4 linked regions of the Arabidopsis thaliana genome follow. The protein of the gene in region 4 purifies or fractionates together with the protein of the main gene of each other region. This does not show direct contact. Each region holds a gene or a part of one and is shown on either strand. Other genes may lie near its edges.

Evidence for each region.
Region 1: the proteins of AT4G38930 (region 4) and AT1G12230 fractionate together in Arabidopsis thaliana (co-fractionation; one large-scale study listed by BioGRID). This does not show direct contact.
Region 2: the proteins of AT4G38930 (region 4) and AT2G43090 fractionate together in Arabidopsis thaliana (co-fractionation; one large-scale study listed by BioGRID). This does not show direct contact.
Region 3: the proteins of AT4G38930 (region 4) and GSH1 fractionate together in Arabidopsis thaliana (co-fractionation; one large-scale study listed by BioGRID). This does not show direct contact.

What each region holds. Positions count from the first base shown.
Region 1 is NC_003070.9:4,146,318-4,151,565, forward strand, and holds AT1G12230 (Aldolase superfamily protein), read left to right. Parts: upstream 1-1,644; 5' UTR 1,645-1,732; coding exon 1,733-1,786; intron 1,787-1,876; coding exon 1,877-2,018; intron 2,019-2,421; coding exon 2,422-2,500; intron 2,501-2,592; coding exon 2,593-2,658; intron 2,659-2,762; coding exon 2,763-2,838; intron 2,839-2,932; coding exon 2,933-3,016; intron 3,017-3,109; coding exon 3,110-3,214; intron 3,215-3,303; coding exon 3,304-3,384; intron 3,385-3,459; coding exon 3,460-3,524; intron 3,525-3,618; coding exon 3,619-3,688; intron 3,689-3,761; coding exon 3,762-3,937; intron 3,938-4,021; coding exon 4,022-4,160; intron 4,161-4,244; coding exon 4,245-4,391; 3' UTR 4,392-4,739; downstream 4,740-5,248. Other genes in the region: RPS5 (Disease resistance protein (CC-NBS-LRR class) family), read left to right, coding at 1-1,363.
Region 2 is NC_003071.7:17,917,297-17,921,022, forward strand, and holds AT2G43090 (Aconitase/3-isopropylmalate dehydratase protein), read left to right. Parts: upstream 1-1,629; 5' UTR 1,630-1,660; coding exon 1,661-2,416; 3' UTR 2,417-2,428; intron 2,429-2,885; 3' UTR 2,886-3,200; downstream 3,201-3,726. Other genes in the region: AT-P4H-1 (P4H), read left to right, coding at 204-278, 371-441, 535-586, 835-924, 1,013-1,105, 1,196-1,303; IPMI2 (isopropylmalate isomerase 2), read left to right, coding at 3,389-3,726. UniProt on the Arabidopsis thaliana protein: Catalyzes the isomerization between 2-isopropylmalate and 3-isopropylmalate, via the formation of 2-isopropylmaleate. Plays an essential role in leucine biosynthesis.
Region 3 is NC_003075.7:12,101,660-12,109,547, reverse strand, and holds GSH1 (glutamate-cysteine ligase), read left to right. Parts: upstream 1-1,852; 5' UTR 1,853-2,423; intron 2,424-2,782; 5' UTR 2,783-2,796; coding exon 2,797-3,122; intron 3,123-3,292; coding exon 3,293-3,443; intron 3,444-3,612; coding exon 3,613-3,720; intron 3,721-3,797; coding exon 3,798-3,890; intron 3,891-4,069; coding exon 4,070-4,153; intron 4,154-4,272; coding exon 4,273-4,341; intron 4,342-4,431; coding exon 4,432-4,502; intron 4,503-4,586; coding exon 4,587-4,655; intron 4,656-4,909; coding exon 4,910-5,003; intron 5,004-5,129; coding exon 5,130-5,219; intron 5,220-5,310; coding exon 5,311-5,391; intron 5,392-5,485; coding exon 5,486-5,578; intron 5,579-5,664; coding exon 5,665-5,745; coding exon of another isoform or gene 5,746-5,769; exon of another isoform or gene 5,770-5,843; coding exon 5,844-5,913; intron 5,914-6,001; coding exon 6,002-6,090; 3' UTR 6,091-6,187; exon of another isoform or gene 6,188-6,449; intron 6,450-7,240; 3' UTR 7,241-7,413; downstream 7,414-7,888.
Region 4 is NC_003075.7:18,147,537-18,152,323, forward strand, and holds AT4G38930 (Ubiquitin fusion degradation UFD1 family protein), read left to right. Parts: upstream 1-1,996; 5' UTR 1,997-2,051; exon of another isoform or gene 2,052-2,235; intron 2,236-2,335; 5' UTR 2,336-2,370; coding exon 2,371-2,373; intron 2,374-2,456; coding exon 2,457-2,534; intron 2,535-2,658; coding exon 2,659-2,683; intron 2,684-2,783; coding exon 2,784-2,816; intron 2,817-2,907; coding exon 2,908-3,029; intron 3,030-3,111; coding exon 3,112-3,242; intron 3,243-3,356; coding exon 3,357-3,577; intron 3,578-3,652; coding exon 3,653-3,891; intron 3,892-3,984; coding exon 3,985-4,080; 3' UTR 4,081-4,240; downstream 4,241-4,787. Other genes in the region: VHA-C3 (vacuolar-type H[+]-ATPase C3), read left to right, coding at 562-847, 1,185-1,317.

The sequences.
Region 1 (5,248 bases), on a different chromosome or scaffold from region 4:
GGGATTCATAAATGAAAAAGAAGGCAGAGAGAGGAATATTAACCAAGGTTATGAGATAATTGGTACCCTTGTCCGTGCATGTTTGTTGTTGGAGGAAGAAAGGAACAAATCAAACGTGAAAATGCATGATGTGGTTCGTGAGATGGCTCTATGGATATCATCCGATCTTGGGAAGCAAAAGGAGAAATGTATTGTGCGAGCTGGTGTTGGGTTACGTGAAGTACCAAAAGTCAAGGATTGGAACACTGTGAGAAAGATTTCTTTGATGAATAATGAGATTGAAGAGATATTTGACAGTCACGAGTGTGCTGCACTTACAACTCTATTTCTCCAAAAGAACGACGTGGTAAAGATCTCGGCTGAATTCTTTCGATGTATGCCTCATCTGGTGGTTTTAGATCTATCAGAGAATCAGAGTCTTAATGAATTACCAGAAGAAATATCAGAGCTGGCCTCTTTGAGATATTTCAACTTGTCATATACATGTATACATCAACTACCCGTTGGTTTATGGACATTGAAAAAGCTAATACATCTGAATCTCGAACACATGAGCAGTCTTGGGAGTATATTAGGGATATCAAATTTGTGGAATTTGAGGACATTGGGACTACGAGATTCCAGACTGTTGCTAGATATGAGTTTAGTGAAGGAGCTGCAGCTCTTAGAACATCTAGAAGTTATAACCCTAGATATATCATCAAGTTTGGTTGCAGAGCCATTGTTATGCTCTCAAAGGTTGGTGGAATGTATAAAAGAGGTAGATTTTAAGTACCTTAAGGAAGAATCAGTGAGAGTATTGACTTTGCCAACCATGGGTAATCTCCGCAAGCTCGGGATAAAAAGATGTGGAATGAGGGAGATAAAGATAGAGAGGACAACTTCATCATCGTCTCGGAACAAAAGTCCCACAACTCCATGCTTCTCAAACCTCTCCAGAGTCTTTATAGCTAAATGCCATGGTCTTAAGGATTTGACGTGGCTTTTGTTTGCTCCTAATCTTACTTTTCTTGAAGTTGGGTTCTCAAAGGAAGTAGAGGATATAATTAGTGAAGAGAAAGCTGAGGAGCATTCAGCTACGATTGTTCCTTTTAGGAAATTGGAGACACTACACCTGTTTGAATTACGCGGGCTCAAGAGAATCTATGCAAAGGCTCTGCATTTTCCGTGTCTGAAAGTTATCCACGTAGAAAAATGTGAAAAGCTGAGAAAGCTTCCATTGGATTCTAAAAGTGGGATCGCGGGTGAAGAACTTGTCATATATTATGGAGAGAGAGAATGGATAGAAAGGGTTGAATGGGAGGACCAAGCAACTCAACTCCGTTTCTTACCTTCATCCAGGTGGCGGTGGAGAGAAACATAATGAACTTCACTTTCTTCTACAAACTTTTGTTGTCATGGTCTAAAGACATTTGCCGGTGTGTAAATCTCTTCCTTGTCTCTTCTTGTTTGCATAACCGTTCTCATCGTTCTTTTGGTTAGTGATCATTGGATTTGTACTTATCTCTTTCTCTAAACGATGAGTGTTTGTTTCGGCTTCATAGAAACATTACACAGAGACTCATGAGAAAATGAATAAAAACTTGCAAGTTCCTAACCATTGTAATAAAATAATAATTAACTGTCTTATCTCGTTGACAGTTTTCGGATAAATTAGAAAAGGCGGGACCCACGTTAATTGGAAGATATCAACGGCTGGATCTGCTTACTCAGATCAACTTCAGCGAAAAAAATGCCACTCTCGTTGCAATCTCCGCCTTGTGCAACTCTCTCTGCTTCAATCCGAGTACTCTCCTCTTCGCTTACTTCTTTCAATCGCATGTATTTGTGCATTGTTTGTTTTTTATCTAATGGATGCGAGCTTTGAACTTCGCAGAAGGGACGATGGAAGACGCTCGCCGCCGGATTCTCCGTTACTCCTCTTCCCGCCGTTAACTTCAGTCTTCGGCGATCGATTCCTCGGATTCTTGCTTCCGCTAGTTCCTCCTCCTCTCCTGCGTCTTCGTCTCTCGAAGCTGGTATTTGTTTATATCTTTGATGATCGTGTTTCTCATTAATTAATAAATACGATTTCTGGAAAGACAAAACAAAAGTATGGGTTTTTGAAAGATTGACTACGATTCAAGCTTTCTTTTTATGTGGGTTTGTTTTTATACTGTCTTGAGTCACTTGTTAGGAAACTATGCTTGACAAAGTTGCTATTTTTGGTTTACCTTTCTTAGTTCAGGACCTTCTGGTTGCTTTAGTTCTTAGCTGAACAGTGTTGATTTATGGTTGAATTTGAAGAAACAAATTGTGTATTTGGTGTTTAACATTGTTCTTGGATGATATCGGTTTTCCTAAAGTTCTCAACTTTATTTCTTCTGGAATGCTTTTAGATGATCATTGAGTTGTTTGATGAAATTGTGTTTTTTTTTTCAGGTGAGAACAATGAGCTAAATGCTGTTTCAGCTTTTAGTGAGATTGTTCCTGATACTGTCGTTTTCGATGACTTTGAGAGGTATGATATATATCTCTACTTCATGAGACTTTAGTTACACTGGTATATCATAAAAATGGAGTCAGACATTCTTAACTTGAGATTGTACTGAGTTTTTCTCTGGATCGAGGATACAAGAAAGAAATTAGCTTAAGATGTAAAAACTCACTCCCTCACAAGTATAACTTCTAACCTTTAGTTATTGTGAAAACCAGATAGTATAACCTTTTGGTTTTCTAATTGTGCTGGATTGATACCTTTGTTGTATTTTACTGATCTGCAGGTTTCCGCCGACTGCAGCTACTGTTAGCTCTGCTCTTCTTCTGGGTATCTGTGGTCTACCTGATACCATTTTCCGCGTAAGCATTTCAAGAGTTTTGATTCTTAGATGATAGTATATGACATCTCTTGTTTTGGGCTCATTTAATTTTGACATTTTTACATCATGATTAGAATGCTGTGGACATGGCTTTGGCGGATTCTTCTTGTGCAGGGCTTGAAACCACAGAATCTCGACTCTCTTGCTTTTTCAATAAGGTTGATCTTCTTATCCCTTATCTGTTTTTCCACTTCCAGATCTTTGCTGCTTAAAAGCTTTTTTTGCCCTTATTACTGATGAGAAAAGTGCAGGCTATTGTCAACGTAGGTGGCGATCTTGTCAAACTCGTTCCAGGTCGAGTTTCTACTGAAGTGGATGCACGTCTTGCTTATGACACAAATGGCATTATCCGCAAGGTAGTTACTACACCATATATATAAGATAATTTGATTATATGTCTCCTGTATCTTCAAATCACTAACTTGTGATGTGATGATGTGTGTAGGTTCATGATCTGCTGAGACTATACAATGAAATCGATGTACCACACGACCGGCTCCTATTCAAAATCCCTGCAACTTGGCAAGTAAGATTATTTTCAGCAAATACCAAAGCTTTACCTTTTACTGGTCTCTTAGTATTGTGCTTATCCCTCTCATAGGGTATTGAAGCTGCAAGATTGTTGGAATCAGAGGGAATCCAAACGCATATGACCTTTGTTTACAGGTACCATAAAACATACCTTTTGACTCTTTTATTTTAGAATTGTCTATCCATCTGATTTGTTTACTTTATAATTTCGTTTTGCATTCATCAACAGCTTTGCACAAGCTGCAGCAGCTTCTCAAGCCGGTGCTTCTGTCATTCAGATTTTCGTCGGTCGCCTCAGGGTAACCATTTTTTAAACAGATGCTGCTAAGTGATTTCAGTGATATGCCAAAGTTAATATCTTAAAATCATTAGGATTGGGCGCGTAATCATTCGGGAGATACCGAGATTGAATCTGCTATTAAATCGGGAGAAGATCCTGGTTTGGCCTTGGTCAAAAGATCATATAACTACATTCACAAGTATGGTTACAAGTCCAAGCTGATGGCTGCTGCTGTCCGGAACAAACAAGACTTGTTCAGTCTTCTCGGGTAAACTCAAACTTCCAAATCATAGCTTCGACCATCAATGGATTCTGATCACATTCTAACTTTCAATGTTCTCTTCAATCTCAGGGTCGATTATGTCATTGCACCATTAAAGGTACTGCAATCTCTTAAAGATTCACCCGCCATTCCCGATGATGAAAAATACTCATTTGTTCGGAAACTTACTCCTGAAACTGCAACACATTACCACTTCACCAACAAAGAGGTTAGTTCTGAAGCTAACCAACACTCATTTGCTTCTGGTTTCACTAAACCAGTGTCTCACCCTGTTTGTTTGATTCTGGTTTAGCTGGTCAAATGGGACCAGCTAAGCTTGGCTTCATCTATGGGTCCTGCATCAGTGGAGCTTTTATCAGCCGGTGTTGAAGGTTATGCGAACCAAGCGAAACGTGTTGAAGAGCTTTTCGGGAAGATTTGGCCACCTCCTAATGTCTAAATACACAGCTTTTCTCTTCATCAATAAGGATCTGTATCAATAAGAGAACTAAGTGTCCATGTTACTTGAACACTACCCTGTTTATCTTCCTGCCCTCTTTATCTTTTTCGTGGCTTGTTGTTCATCATGTCTGAGACTTGGGCTACAAGATAAGAGACTTTAGTTTTAAGACTAAAAGTCTAAAACCAAATCCTTTTCATGTTGTTTCGTCTGAACTTCGGTCTTTTTTTCTCTGTAATTGACTTAGTCGGTTCTCAGATCTCTGAGTCATGATTGTACCGATAAACCAAAATTGAACCGATTGTTTTTGTAAAACCAATCGGGTTCTATTAAAGTTCAAACTAAACTAAAAATTTAACTATGGACTGAAAATAAATAAAAAAATTCTTAGACAAAAAAAAGTTGGACATAGGCCAAACACTGTTTGTTTGACAAATTCTAAGATAAATGATAAAAAGATGAGTTTTTTTAGGGCGAGAAAGACGGTTTAAATCCAAAAAAAAAATTGGGAATTTATGTGTACCAAATGATAAATATCATGAAGACAATGAAGAGGATCAACATAAACTTATCAATCTCAGTCAGATGCATTATCTGATGTCTAGTCACTTCTCTATCCACCTTCTTTAATGTCATTTAGTAATTTTCACACAAGCAGAAACGTACCATGTTATAAATCTTATCTTCTAATGTTTACAAATTCGTACGTCTTACATTTAGTTGTTGACAAAAAAAAAAGATAATTGAAATTTAGTTCAATCATTTTTTTCCTGTGTGATTGCGTTTTTCCTTTGACGACATGTTGTTTGTGATTAATTATTGTGGGTTCATACCAATAATTATGAAATACCTAGATT
Region 2 (3,726 bases), on a different chromosome or scaffold from region 4:
GTAGAAGAAGTAAAATTTCTATTACATCCACTCTCTGCCTTCGATTGTTCAGTTGTTTCAATCAAACATTGGACACAAATAGAAACGCTCTAGGTTTGCCTGCAAAGTCTAATTCATTCTCTTCCATAGTAGACATATTCTAGTTATGCTTTCAAAGTCTTAACCATACTCTTCCATTTTCTTATCACTTTCTTCTTGCTTAGGGAGTTAAAAGTGACGTGAGGACAAGCTCCGGAATGTTTCTAACTCATGTAGAAAGAAGTTATCCAATAATACAGGTAAGTCACTCTCTCATATCTTTTAAAGGCGTGCCATTTTGATCAACTTTACAATTTTGTAAATTATATTCCTTTTCGTTTGCTATTATTAGGCAATTGAAAAGCGAATTGCAGTCTTTTCTCAAGTACCAGCGGAAAATGGAGAACTTATTCAAGTTCTAAGGTGCGTGCACAACCGCAACCTTACTATTTTTTAAATCTAAAGTAAACGAAGCTTTTTTCTTGTTTTGATGAATCAAAATCTGCTGCAGTGCAGATATGAGCCGCAGCAGTTTTACAAACCACATCACGATTACTTTGCTGACACTGTAAGTCTTTGGTTCTGTTTTCATATATATATATCATTAGTAGATTGGTAAAGAAAGCTTTTGCTCTGATTAAAAAAAAAACTAAAAAGAGGCTACAGTATTTAACTTTTGGTTTGGTCAATAATGTTTAGTTGGATCTGTACTTCATCTTCTCCTTCTTCATCATCTTAGAACATTTAGTTTGGAAGTACGTTTATTGTGGGTGTTCATCATATTTCCTCGTTTCTTTTCTTATGGTTGCTACACAGTTCAATCTAAAGCGTGGTGGTCAGCGCGTAGCAACTATGCTTATGTATCTAACTGATGACGTCGAAGGAGGAGAAACTTATTTCCCTTTGGTATAACACTTTCTCTCTGTTCATGCAAATTTCAGAAAACAAAATAAACCAATGGTGTAATATCTCTCTCTCTCTACTTGAAATGCAGGCTGGTGATGGTGATTGCACCTGTGGTGGCAAAATCATGAAAGGCATCTCTGTTAAACCCACCAAAGGAGACGCAGTTCTCTTCTGGAGCATGGTTTGTTTCTTCAATCTCTCTCTCTATGTCTCTACACAAACATGAATCAATTGGACTGCTTTGAGTTCAATTACTTCTTGTGTTATTCAGGGACTCGACGGACAGTCAGATCCTAGGAGCATACATGGAGGATGTGAAGTTCTGTCTGGAGAAAAGTGGTCTGCTACTAAATGGATGAGGCAAAAAGCTACTTCTTGAAGAACTACTTAAAACTTTTTAAAACAAAAAGAAACCACAGGGACTTATATTGAAAAATGTCATAGTATCTCAGAGTTTTGATTTACTCTCTTTTTGACCCTTCAATTTTAGAATTTATCATTTACATACGTAAATCAATATGAATGTGTTTTACATTTTAACCTCTCCAACAAATTCTAAATTACTGTTAGCATATAACTGACACAGAAAACAATTACTGTTACAAAAGAATTAACTATCATTTCACCGAAATAACGAAGGAGAGTGGCATTTTGGTAAATAAGAACAAAGTCTCTATTTATAATCGCATTTTGGTTGACTTGCTTCAATCTTGACCACAGCAAAGAGAAACAAACAATGGCGGCTTCTCTGCAATCAGCAAACCCTACATTGTCACGAACCCTAGCTTCTCCGAACAAACCTTCCTCCTTCGCCACCTTCCGATCTCCATTTCTCAGATTCAATTCAACATCCGTCGCTTCCAATTTCAAACCCCTAGTTTCTCGAGAAGCATCCTCATCGTTCGTCACTCGCTCCGCCGCCGAGCCACAAGAAAGAAAAACCTTCCATGGACTGTGCTATGTCGTCGGCGACAACATCGACACTGACCAAATCATTCCCGCGGAGTTTCTCACTCTCGTCCCTTCGAATCCAGAGGAATACGAGAAACTCGGTTCTTACGCTTTAGTTGGTCTTCCAGCTTCTTACAAGGAACGATTCGTTCAGCCAGGTGAGATGAAGACGAAGTACTCAATCATCATTGGCGGTGAAAACTTTGGATGTGGATCGTCACGTGAACATGCTCCGGTTTGTTTAGGAGCAGCGGGAGCTAAAGCAGTGGTGGCTCAGTCTTATGCTAGAATCTTTTTCAGGAACTCTGTTGCTACTGGTGAGGTTTATCCTTTGGATTCTGAAGTTAGGGTTTGTGATGAGTGTACAACTGGTGATGTTGCGACTGTTGAGTTGAGGGAAGGAGATAGTATTTTGATCAATCATACGACTGGGAAAGAGTACAAGCTTAAGCCGATTGGTGATGCTGGACCAGTGATTGATGCTGGTGGTATATTTGCTTATGCTAGGAAAGCTGGAATGATTCCATCTGCTGCTGCTTGATTTTGACTTCAGGTATGATTCTGTAACTTGATGATGATGATGATGAGGATTGGTAATAGGTTAGGATTGAGATCGAATTTGTGGAATAGTCTAGGAAGCTTGACATTGAATTGAACGATGCAAAACATAGTTTTCAATGGTTCTAGTTAGAGAAAGAGAACACAGTAGTTGGGATTCTAGTTTTGTGTTGTTTAAAATGTGTTGGTTTAGTTTTTGTGTGAGATTGATAATGACTTGTTATTCTTTCTCTTCGCTTAAGACTTACTTTATCTTTCCATTGGTTCAATTTCTAGATTGTACATCTCTTGATTGTAGTTGTTGGGAGGGTAAAAGTTATGATGTTGGCTGATCTTTTCCATGCTCATATCCATTAAGACTTGAGTGTCCGATAGTAGAACAATACTTCACTCTTATTTTGTCTCTAAGACTCCTTTTTTTTTTTCCTTTTTTTGTTCTATTTGTTTTGCAGGTGTCAATGGAAGTGCATGAGAGTCACTTCAAGGATCTTGATCCAATAATAAGAATATGTAATGTTTCCAAAAGCTTATGAACCTAATCTATGTTTTATGAATATATATGACTATCGGCTTTAGTCTTCAGTATCAGTTTCTTGTTTACATTTGGATGTATCAGCTGCTAAAAAAATGCATAGTTTCCCATCCCATTTGAAACGACGTTTTCTCTCATGTCTTCCACTAATATAATCTTCTGGTCATGAGAACAGAACAGGAGCTCTGTTTTTCTCACACAATGATCGAACACACTTTTGTCATATAGTATAGAGAAATATTAACACTTCTTTTTAGGCATCCGTATCTAGAGTCTTTGTTTCACTGTGACCTACCTAAGTATATCAAAACGCACGTTTGGAATTCTGAATGGCACTTTCGTAAATAGGAGGGTACAAACATTTCTCCTTTTAAATTGTTTTCATCGTGAACTCTCTCACTCACTCAACAAAGTAAAGAAACAATGGCGTATTCTCTTCCTACATTTCCCCAAGCCTTACCTTGCTCGTCAACCAAAACTTCTTCCTCCTTGGCTACCTTCCGATCTCCTTTCTTAAGATTCAATGGTTCCACTTCCTTAATCCCCTCCTCTATCTCCATCACTTCACGTGGCACATCCTCCCCGACCATCATCCCACGTGCTGCCGCCTCAGAATCCGACTCTAACGAAGCCCTAGCCAACACAACCTTCCACGGCCTCTGCTATGTCTTGAAAGACAACATAGACACCGACCAGATCATCCCAGCAGGAGCCGCTTGCACCTTCCCATCGAACCAGCAAGAGCGTGATGAGATCGCCGC
Region 3 (7,888 bases), 6.0 Mb from region 4:
AAAAAAGGCTCTTGATCTATTTTCTAGCTTGTTTTCTAGAAAGAAGTGACCCTGGTCTATACGACCTCCTTAGTCAATCCATGCAAATCATAACGTCCCCATCTCGATGTCTACCAATTTAACGTTTCCTTTTTAATTTGTTAGATATGCCCGTTTTATTTTGACTTGCTCAAACTGTATAGGGCCATCACGAGCTAAACTGATGTGACTTGGGCCTGGTGAGAGTCATGAAGCTCCGGAATGTTGTAGCTCGATGTTACCTATATAAGCTTTCTTTATGGGCCTTGAATAGGCCGAGTTCAAATGTGAGAATCCAACACCAACAGCCACTTAGAACAACTTTTCAAGATTGTGTATCATCTACCTCTTCGGCCATATTAAGAATATGTGTAGTTGGGCTTCGGTGAGACTTATGAGTTGGGCTTGCCATGACAATCCCAGATGTTACTTTTCTCTTAATCCCTAGGAAGAAAATCTTTTGGTAACTTCAAATCATTATAAGCGCAAATAGCTAGCTACTATGTCTGATGCATTTAGTTACTTTGTGCTGAGGATTGGGGTCTTTAATGTGAAATCGAAAGTTTAGGGTTTCTCGTGGATATTAGAAAACGTTAAGGTTGGAATATAAAGGAAAAGATTAACTGAAAGAGTCTGCATAGCACACTCCAGCTTAATTCCGTATCGTTTTAGGATTTCTGACTTCACTCTTTGACGGCTATATATTAATGTGATTTTCCATTATGTCAAATGTTAATTATTATTTTTTAGATAAGTTTTCGTGAAAGTTGAAACGGTGTGACTTGTGAGTGACGAATGTATAGGAAGAAACTGTGGAGGTGGGTTCCGTTTAAGGCTTTGGTGGTGTGGAGATTAGAAGTCATGGCCGCCATTTTTGAGTCACGCACGTGTCCACCTACCTTACCTTCTTATAACTTATTCATTCATGTGTTCGATAAAATATATTTGATATTAATTTAAACATACAACATAGAAGTGCACAATTACAAGAGTTTTTTTTGTTTTTCTATTTTTGTCGCTACAAGAGTTTTTAGTTTTTACTTACGTTACGTATATGCAAACGCAAGCAATTCTGCATCTATTTGTTTTTCAATGGCAGCCATAATTGATATCAAATAAATAAATTACTAATGCCACATGTTTTTTTAGCACAGCTTCATAATTCATAGGAGTATCGATATGTAACACAATAATGGATCTTGTAGTAAAATTTGAATAGAGTCAATTAAAAAAAAAAAAAAAGATAGAGTCAATCTGTGCGATATAATGAAATTAGAACGAAGCTCGAATTTTAAGATTTTAAATTATAACAAAACTCAAATGTGTTATAACATTCAAAAAAAAAAAAAAAAAAAAACTTAACACAATAATTAGTTTTTCTCATTTTGAGAAAACCAAATTCTCGAAAGTATGTGAAAAATACCATGGAATTTGAAGGATTTTGTAGATTACCAAATAGTAAACAAAATTTCTAAACTTGTTTTACTATGATTTTGTCACGAATACAAAATCAAACTCAGATAGAGAAATTAGGTGATATATAGCCATAATTGTGTTTACTACTAAAAATACAGTTATTTCTAAAAATAAGGTAAATGACCACCATGGTACCATACTATTCCATGAACAATATAGACAAATAGCCTTCCATTGTTATAATTGGGATATTGTCAAATCCATCCCGTATCTATATATATTATTATACACAAGTAGAACTTTTGATGGTGATTCATTATCTACCATTCACATGTTTTTGTATCATTAAATTGTTGATTATAAAAGCAGGATTTGATTCCACCTACTAAGAAGTAGGAAATATAAAAACATAACGCCAATTTTCGTTCATCAGAACCAAGATTTTTTTGTCGACACAATCAAACCAAATAGATAATGATACTGTTTTTTATAGTAGTATATATATTTCTTTTCCTATAGAGTATTTTATCTGAGGTCATGTGGTTGGTTAGTGACACACTTTTCATTATTTTACGTTCTAAATTAAATATCGTAAAGTTAAACCTCGTTTAAAGTATACTATAAAGAATAGAAATATCATTAATTCATTATACACACTATAAAGTTAACCTTTGTTTAAACTACTAATAAACTGGTTATTTAAAAAACTATTAGGGTTAAATTTGTGAGAAATGGAAAAGTAAGAGGCAAAAAACGAAAGAATCTTTTATTACAATGATTATTAATTTTATCAACTTTCTTTTATAGACAGCTCAGCTCCACTGATCGGCTCATGCTCCACTGATCAACTTTCTTTCATTTTTTTATCAGTTTCTCATTTCTCTCTCAGTCGCATATAAATTTGAAACGCCGATTCGTTTTTGCTCTTTAAGCTTTCTTCTTGATTTCGACGGTGTCTCTCAATCTCCGTCAAGCTTGACGAATTTCAGGTGTGATTTGCTTCTCTTCTTCTTCGCTTTCTGGACTTGTGGATTTTGGTTTTTGATTGATTTGTTCTGCTTTTTTTTTTTTGGTTGAATCTTCGCTTTTTCTCATGATTTTTTTTTGGCTGTTGCATGATTTTGGTTTTGTTAGAGTCGAATTTTTGCAGATTTTTGCTTTGATTTGATTTTTGTTGTTGTTGTTGTTTCTGGTTTGGTGATACACGAATTTTGATTTGTTCTTCCAGATGATAGTTCAATTCTGTGGTAGCTGCTGATTCTAATTATGTGATATATGTTATTAGAATTGAGAAAAATGCAGTTATTTGTGATTTCTCATAGCTTATGATGAATTGTTATAATTGCAGGAGCTATATATACCATGGCGCTCTTGTCTCAAGCAGGAGGATCATACACTGTTGTTCCTTCTGGAGTTTGTTCAAAGGCTGGAACTAAAGCTGTTGTTTCGGGTGGCGTGAGGAATTTGGATGTTTTGAGGATGAAAGAAGCTTTTGGTAGCTCCTACTCTAGGAGTCTATCTACCAAATCAATGCTTCTCCATTCTGTTAAGAGGAGTAAGAGAGGGCATCAATTGATTGTTGCGGCAAGTCCTCCAACGGAAGAGGCTGTAGTTGCAACTGAGCCGTTGACGAGAGAGGATCTCATTGCCTATCTTGCCTCTGGATGCAAAACAAAGGACAAATATAGGTACAGTTTGATGCTTATATGTTCTGTTAAAATGCTACTTAGTGTTTGTAATTGTGACATATTTCTTTGTTTGTGCTCTTTTACGGTGTTGGTATTGTTTGAATTCATCCAGATTGTTTGTCTATTGGAGAAATATTCTGTTTTGCTAACTTAACATTGTGAGTTTTCAGAATAGGTACAGAACATGAGAAATTTGGTTTTGAGGTCAATACTTTGCGCCCTATGAAGTATGATCAAATAGCCGAGCTTCTTAATGGTATCGCTGAAAGATTTGAATGGGAAAAAGTAATGGAAGGTGACAAGATCATTGGTCTGAAGCAGGTTAACATTCTCCTGTGTTTCATCTTTTGAGCCGTTTATTATTTATATACATTTTCAGCCTGTAGAACATGTTAGCTTCATATACAACACAATGATCGGTATATTATAAGGTTTCAGTCTTTTTTTTTTTTTTGCTGTAGATAACTCGTTCTGTCCTTTTGTTGACCAGGGAAAGCAAAGCATTTCACTTGAACCTGGGGGTCAGTTCGAGCTTAGTGGTGCACCTCTTGAGACTTTGCATCAAACTTGTGCTGAAGTCAATTCACATCTTTATCAGGTAATTTCAAAGATAATTATTGCCAATGCTCTCACCCTAAAACGTGACAAATAACCAACTATCTACGGATGTCACAGGTAAAAGCAGTTGCTGAGGAAATGGGAATTGGTTTCTTAGGAATTGGCTTCCAGCCCAAATGGCGTCGGGAGGATATACCCATCATGCCAAAGGTATGACGCTTTCTCTATTCTTAAGATTGAAGAAAGTTAACATCTGTTTGTTTCTAATTCAGATAATATTATCTGATTCTACATAGCCAACGTTCGGATTATTTCTTGGTGTTTGTGTTAAGTTTTCCTATGACGAGTCAGGCAGTAAGATTTGACATAGTGTAATGTGTTCTGTGCAGGGGAGATACGACATTATGAGAAACTACATGCCGAAAGTTGGTACCCTTGGTCTTGATATGATGCTCCGAACGTGTACTGTTCAGGTTAGATTAATATTCTGACTTTGCGCCTTTTCATAATTTCCTTAAACTAAACTTTCCAGTTCTCATCAATAATCTTATTTTGAAACTTATAGAAACTGCATTACTTGCAATCTTGACAGGTTAATCTGGATTTTAGCTCAGAAGCTGATATGATCAGGAAGTTTCGTGCTGGTCTTGCTTTACAACCTGTGAGAAGCTCGATCTCTTTGTGGCATAACCAGAAACTTTTATTAACGATTTTGACTAACCATTGCCTCACTATTATCTAAATTCAACAGATAGCAACGGCTCTATTTGCGAATTCCCCTTTTACAGAAGGAAAGCCAAACGGATTTCTCAGCATGAGAAGGTATCTAGATTCAGTTGTTATGATCCCCGATATCTTTTTGAATTAGTTTCCCTCCCACCTTATAACTCTGGTATGTTTTGACAGCCACATATGGACAGACACTGACAAGGACCGCACAGGAATGCTACCATTTGTTTTCGATGACTCTTTTGGGTGAGTATCGATGTTTAATCTATGAAAAACAATTACATTACATTGGTTGGTTTGGTATGAGAAGCTTCTCAAAAACCAATGACTCTGTCTCGCATTCTTGATGAGTTATTGGAAAATTGATATGTGCTATTCTGTGGATTTTCTTACATATGTTTGTGTTCAAGATAGAAAGATGCTTTGGATCTTTATCCTTCTCTTGAAACAGCATGGCTAATCTTAATTTTATTGCTCTCTTTTGTTCTTATCTGGTATAGGTTTGAGCAGTATGTTGACTACGCACTCGATGTCCCTATGTACTTTGCCTACAGAAAGAACAAATACATCGACTGTACTGGAATGACATTTCGGGTCAAAATCTATCCTTAATCTTTTCTGTTAGGTTCTATAACTGTTTCATTGCAAGGAATTGGCAAATTGAAAACCATGGGATCTTCTTGAATTATATCTAATCTCATAATATTCTTCATGCTGCAGCAATTCTTGGCTGGAAAACTTCCCTGTCTCCCTGGTGAACTGCCTTCATATAATGATTGGGAAAACCATCTGACAACAATATTCCCAGAGGTTAATCATCTGCCTCAAGAGTCTTTCAATCAGCCTATGACTTTCATTTCCCTGTCTTATGTTGAAGTCTGACAACGTTCCATAACACTAGGTTCGGTTGAAGAGATACTTGGAGATGAGAGGTGCTGATGGAGGTCCCTGGAGGAGGCTGTGTGCCCTGCCAGCTTTCTGGGTAACTACATCTATTAGCACATATATATTTCGTGCTTAATGAGAATGTTTCAAAAAGTATTGACTGTTGTTTTGATTTTATCTACAAATTTCAGGTGGGTTTATTATATGATGATGATAGTCTCCAAGCTATCCTGGATCTGACAGCTGACTGGACTCCAGCAGAGAGAGAGATGCTAAGGAACAAAGTAATAACAAGACGCACCACATTTACATTTTCTTATTCCACAGTTAGAAAACATCTTGTAATAAACTAATACTTGATTTCCAACAGGTCCCAGTTACTGGCTTAAAGACTCCTTTTAGGGATGGTTTGTTAAAGCATGTCGCTGAAGATGTCCTGAAACTCGCAAAGGTGTGTTTGTATGAACCCTCTTAGAAACTTCGAGCCAGCTTTCTATCCCGTCTGGTCCAGCTTCTAACTATTGGACTTATTTTCTCTTTGTTTCTCAGGATGGTTTAGAGCGCAGAGGCTACAAGGAAGCCGGTTTCTTGAACGCAGTCGATGAAGTGGTCAGAACAGGTAAATGAAGTTTCCTAATGCATAATTGAATTCCACACCGACATTTTGTTTGATAACCTGGTGGTGAAATTTGGTTTTGAAATGACAGGAGTTACGCCTGCGGAGAAGCTCTTGGAGATGTACAATGGAGAATGGGGACAAAGCGTAGATCCCGTGTTCGAAGAGCTGCTGTACTAAGAAAATGGGACGTGAACAAAAGGTGTCTATAAACCTTTGGGTGTGAGTTTATGCTATCTGAAGAATTCGAGTCTCCGGAATAAGGATTTTTTTTTTTGTTGTAATCGGATTTTAAAAACTGATTTTGTTTTAGAAATTCGAAGCATTGAAAAGCAGAAGAAAAATTGTATGTACTAAACGATTTCGGTGTGGGAAATCGTTTGGGAGGGTGTGTTTGGATCTTGAATAAATTACCCATTTTTCTTGTCACAAATTTGTCTACATTTAACGAAATAACTCAAAACTGATTTCAAGGCAAAGGCGACGGATGGGATAATCTAGGCTGTGTAGTGGAAAGTTTTGATGTTTAGTAATTTGGCAATGTATGTTTTTTTCTAAATGGGAGAGCATCTTCGATGTAGACATTTACGAGCTTTTCCTTTAATAGGTTTTGGCTAGTGAAGAACACTGCTTTCATAATTGAATCCACCAGACTCCGCGTAAACTAAACTGATTACAACACGATGATCCTGGCCGTCGGTAATTATCGTAAAACAAGAAGATAGTGGCACTTAGGTGACAGGATAATATGTAAACCCTACCAAGGCGTCCCTACAAAATGATGAGTGATGACTGATGAGAGTGAGAAAAACCGAGTCTCCACAGTCCACACACTGCCTTACCTAATTAATATACCCACCTTTCATTCATGTATGTTACGTCAACGTTTTTATGTCCGTTAAAACTGTAATCTACATAAGAGATCATAATTTTTAAAATCTCCATGTATTTCGTTGATACTTTAATTTGGCACGTTTCTAGTTTTTGAGATCAAATGTTTTTAATCTGCTTCTAGTCTTATTTTTCCTAAACCTTAAACTGTAAACCAATTGCTTTTTCACATAACCTTGCTTGTTTTCAATTTTAAAATTTAAGTCCAATATTTGAAACAACCTAACAAATGTCGTCTATGGCAACCAAAAAAAAATAAAAAATCAAAACAATTTGCTAAAAAGGAAATTGATTAAAATTGATTTCTTTCATTTAAATTGGAATTTAATATATTAGGTAAACATGTAAACGCAATCGCAATTTTTATGAGAGACTTCGGGCCGGTTCGTTTAAGTGTCGCTGCGACTATAACTAGCGACTGGCTTTAAAAACGACTGAGTTTTGTTTGTTTTTATTGTTTTTTTTTTAAGTTCGAATATGTCGTATAGATCTGTAAAATAATTCAAATGTGGCTTTGTCCCATAGATTGGTTTTGATTATGCAATCATCTATCACAACAGTGGAACATTATGCAATCATTTATTGTCTATCAAATTAATTATGGTTATGAAATATGAAGGATCTTACATCTTAAAAAGTGTTAATTATGATCGCATGCCATTTAGATTCTTTCAAAAATTCAGTTTGAAAGTGGAAAGCGCGCCAAAATTTGCAGAAATCAAAAATCCGTTAAAAAACGTTACCAAAAAAATATTTTAAAACGGGCCAAAATATTTCAAATGTGGATTCCATAGATTGGTTTTGATTATGCAATCATGTATTACAACAGTGGGTTGAAATCACTTCTCCTACCTGATCATTAGCTTCAAAAGTGCCTTGGCTACAGTAATAGGATTTTTCATGTATATGAAAATATTAGTTCAAATGGGAGACAATCTTTTGAATTGGTATAGAGGTTGTCAGGTTGATCAATGATTCAGGGGAAGAGTGATGACAAATACTAAGAAATGATCCAGGAGGTTGTCATCCGTTTTCCTATTAATAGAATTGGATAAAAACTTATTTGACTTCTAAATATTTATTAGGT
Region 4 (4,787 bases):
CCCTGAGAAGTTCACCGATCTGTGTGTTGCTCATGATTTTTCTTAGAAATTTCTCTCTAGATTTGTTTAGGCTAAGCGATATCACTGAACTATTATATGTCTCTCCTTTTCGAAAATTCTAGTTTATTATCTTTAGTCAGTGGATCAAATTCTTATGGAACTGCTCTACGCTGGTTTTAAATCCTTTTTCTTTGTCTTTTCTCCATTGGTGATGTAGTCTAGGCTGATCTTCTAGAAACTAAGACTTTTTGGCTTAGATCTGTATGTGTTGAATTTCTTGGTGTCCCCGACAAAAAAAAAAGAATTTCTTGGTGTCCTGTTCTTTGTCCAACATATCGAAATTACCTAGGGAAATTTGCTGGAGTTGCCAGGTTTTGTGATTGCTGTGACTGGTACTAATTGCATAAGTACAGATTTACCGTTGTTACCATCAAAATTGCTGAGTTGCTTTCATCTATGTCAATTATGCTTTTTCTTCATATCGAAGGCATGTTGATTACTTGTGTAAACCATAGTTAGATTGTGACCTTAAAGAGTGTGTATCTTTGTGTTATTAACAAGGTATGGGAGCTGCGTACGGGACAGCAAAGAGTGGTGTGGGAGTGGCATCTATGGGTGTGATGAGGCCGGAGTTGGTGATGAAGTCTATTGTCCCAGTTGTTATGGCTGGTGTGTTGGGTATCTATGGTTTGATTATTGCTGTTATCATCAGTACCGGGATTAACCCCAAGGCTAAATCCTACTACCTCTTCGACGGATATGCTCATCTCTCTTCTGGTCTTGCTTGTGGGCTAGCTGGTCTTTCAGCTGGAATGGCCATAGGTATCGTTGGCGATGCTGGTGTCAGGTACGATCCTCTGTGTCCTTCTTTGCAGATTCACTCTTATAGCCTAATTTGCTAAAAGACTCAATTTTATACAAGTATATCTCCCTTATGAATCAGAATATCATGAGTTTAGTGTCACAATTCAACTTGATGAAAATTTGGTAGGGAATATGTGCAATTCACTGACTGTTGAATCTATAATGGAAGAAATATCAGTTCATTACATGCTTCTGTGAGATGTCTTGTGCCATGGCGTATTTCTCTAGGATGAAATATAATGGAAGAAATATCAATTCAATTGTGAGTGTCTATCCCCTGTTATATCATTTTGATACGCAAATTTGTGGTTTGATGACAGGGCCAATGCTCAACAGCCAAAGCTTTTCGTTGGTATGATTCTTATCCTCATTTTCGCTGAAGCTCTTGCTCTATACGGTCTCATCGTCGGGATCATTTTGTCCTCCCGAGCTGGTCAGTCCAGAGCCGAATGAGAAAAGAGTGCGGTTCTTGAAGTCCGCATGATTCTTTCTTCCCCTTTTCACCGGTCTCTTCATAGAGCCGGGATCTTCTTATATTGTTTGTCAGGTTAGTAGAGAGACACAGTGGTTTTGTTCCTTGTGGCATGTCTTCTCGAAACAAAAACCACACATCATCATCAAAAGCGTTGTTCCGTTTTCACCCTTCTGTTATGTTTGTAATGAGACCGTTGCGGATTCTTCTGTTCCCAGTAAGATAACTGTGGGAGACACCCTATTTATATCGTTTATCATTTTCCTAATAAAATTCCAGAAAAACTCGATTTGATCTTGTTTATGAAACTTTTTTGAATATTTTTCTGTTTTGTTTTTGGGTTTTATCGTGTATATATATATATATATATATTTGTCGACCAGTTTAATTTCGTTAAAATGAACAGAGCCCATTGGGCTGTACAGATGATGAAAGAAGCCCAAACTCCTATCGTATATATATATTTTGAACATGTGGATGTGTCTGTTAACTATCATTTTTAACATGCGTCTGGTTAACTACAAAGTTTCTCATTCCTTATCGCACACATTTGTCGTTAATAATTCAAAGCCCAAAGCCGAATTAGAACTTAAGCCCAAGCCCATATTAATGTAAGACGCCGTATACGGTATATAAAGAAGGAGATAGACGTGAAGACGATACGACTTACCTTGCGGGAATCACGCGACCAATTGATTCTTCTTCTCACAAGCAGGTACTCTCTCTCTCTATCTCTGTTTTCTCCGATTGTCAATTCTCGCGAGAAGGAAGCTTCCAATTCTAGGTTTCCGTTTTGGTTCGCGCTTTAAGCCCAATTATGGTCGGATTTGTACGTTTGGGTGTCACCATGGTAGATTCGTTTCGTTAGAATTGTGGAGTACTCGTTTAGGAATCGAAAGGTTGGGTTTTGTGCGTTTCGACGCGAGTTGTAGATGATCTTGCCTATACGTCTGCTTACTTGTGCTAAATGACTATTAATTTGGTCTTCCTTTTTGACAGTTGGCGTTAACTCTTGTTTATCTACCAGTTGAAAGATGGTAACTTTTCTCTTAAATCAGTAATTTCAATCTATCTAGTAACTGTTCTTCCATCTCATGTGTTAGTGTCCCTGCAATTGCAGTTTTACGATGGATACGCTTATCATGGAACTACCTTTGAGCAGACTTACCGGTGTTATCCCTCATCCTTTATTGATAAGGTTTGATTTCAAAGTTCCTTACTTATTATTTTATATGCTTATATATGTAAAATTGGAGAACTTGTGCAATGTTTACAACCCCAATTCTAACATCTCTTTTCTTTTTTCTTTTTTCTTTTCATAGCCTCAAATTGAAAGTGGTGACAAGAGTAAGTCTTTAATCTTACAAATAATGTGTCTTTCCAAGTTTATGTTACTCTTTATAATGCTCAAGTTTTGTAATTTGATTTCTTTGATATCTATTTTCAGTTATAATGCCACCATCAGCCCTTGATCGTCTAGGTACATTTTCTTCCTTTGCTTAATGATTCCAGCTTCTTTTTCGGATTTCATTTGATTATCCAGAGCCACTTACATCCATCACTGTTTACAGCTTCTTTGCAGATTGATTATCCAATGCTCTTTGAACTTCGTAATGCTTCAACAGATAGTTTTTCTCACTGCGGAGTCCTTGAGTTCATCGCAGAAGAAGGCGTGATTTACATTCCCTACTGGGTAACAAACAGTAGCTTGTTTTTATCACCAATACAAGATACTCGATATCTTGTGACTTAAAATCGATTGTTTGCTTTTGCAGATGATGCAGAATTTGCTGTTGCAAGAAGGAGACATGGTGAGAGTTAGAAATGTCACTCTTCCAAAGGGAACCTACGTGAAACTGCAACCCCACACAACAGACTTTCTCGATATAGCTAACCCGAAAGCCATGTAATTCCGACTTACTCCTCCCCCTCTTGTATTTTTGTCTCCATCTAGACTTTGAATTCTTTGCGAATACCGTACTCTGTGTATATTGAACCGGTTCCTGTGTTTCTGCTGCAGCTTGGAGACCGCATTGAGGAACTATTCATGTCTAACGGTCGGAGATAGCATTATGGTCCCATACAACAATAAGAAATACTTCATAGACATAGTGGAGGCAAAGCCTTCTAATGGTATTAGCATCATTGAAACTGATTGCGAGGTTGATTTCGCACCTCCCCTTGATTACAAGGAACCCGAACGACCTGTAGCACCTGCTCCAGCCAAAGGTGAAGCAAAAGGTGATTTGTATGAATTGGACATGAAATTAGCTCCAAGCTGTTAGATTCTAATGTGGTCTTCTTTTTTTGATACAGCTAAGGAGGTTGATGTGGCTGAAGCAGAACCAAAGTTTAACCCTTTCACGGGTTCGGGAAGACGTTTGGATGGACGACCTTTATCCTATGAACCGCAACCTGGTGCTGCTAACAGTAACGGCCAATCACATCCTGTTGCAAGTAGTAGTAGTAGTGGGTCAGAGAAGGCTACGCAACAAAATCGAGGGAAACTTGTGTTCGGTTCAAATGTAGAGCGGTCTACTAAAGAGACAACAAAGGTAAATAACTTGTTTAAAAGTAGTATGTGCAAAAAATGGTATCAGAGATAAGAGATGGAGTAGAAATATAATGTTGATCTATCTGTAACTTAGGTTGGAGCTGGGAAAGATAGAAAGCAAGAGGAAGAGGCTGAGAAGGAAGCCAAGTTCCAAGCTTTTAGTGGTAAAAAATATTCATTGAGGGGTTGAACCAACCAATGTGTGGAACCAATCTCTCGTCTTATTTATGATTTTACTCTTGTGCTTATGTATTATCTATGGAATTAAACGTTTAAAGGAAGAAAAAAAACACAAATAAATTCAAGAAAAAAAGAAGAAGATGATGTATGTGATTCATCATCATTAATTTTAGAGTGGGATTTATTTAGCCATTTATGTTTTTTTTTTTTTTTTTTTTTTGTCGGCCAAATTTCATATTGGATATTAAAACCCAATAAAGGGTGTTACAGATGCTGATGAAAGGCCCAATCCCTCACCATTTACAACTTTGATTAAAATTTAAAGCACAGCTTAACCCACCCAATTCTAAAGATAAGGCTAAGACAAAAAAAGTGCCACGTTGCCAACACGTGTCCAACGTGAGATGAAGAGATGTTGAAACTGACGTTGCCGGCTGATCCACGATCCACCTCTGCTCCGTCGGTCGGGCTTAATCAAATCAACACCAAGAGCTTCTTCCACATAATTCGCCGGATTCCATCAGCTGAAGATTCCATGCCACCACCTTGAAATAAATTCAGAGATCTCTCAATCTAGTCTTCAAAGGAAAGCTTCACCTAATACCTATCTTGTAGGTCCCTTCAATGGACGGTGAAGATATTACTCCCTTATAAAGGAAAAGATGAGTTTGGTGAAAGCAGAATTCTTCTGAAGAAGAAAGCAAACCGAATTGATCT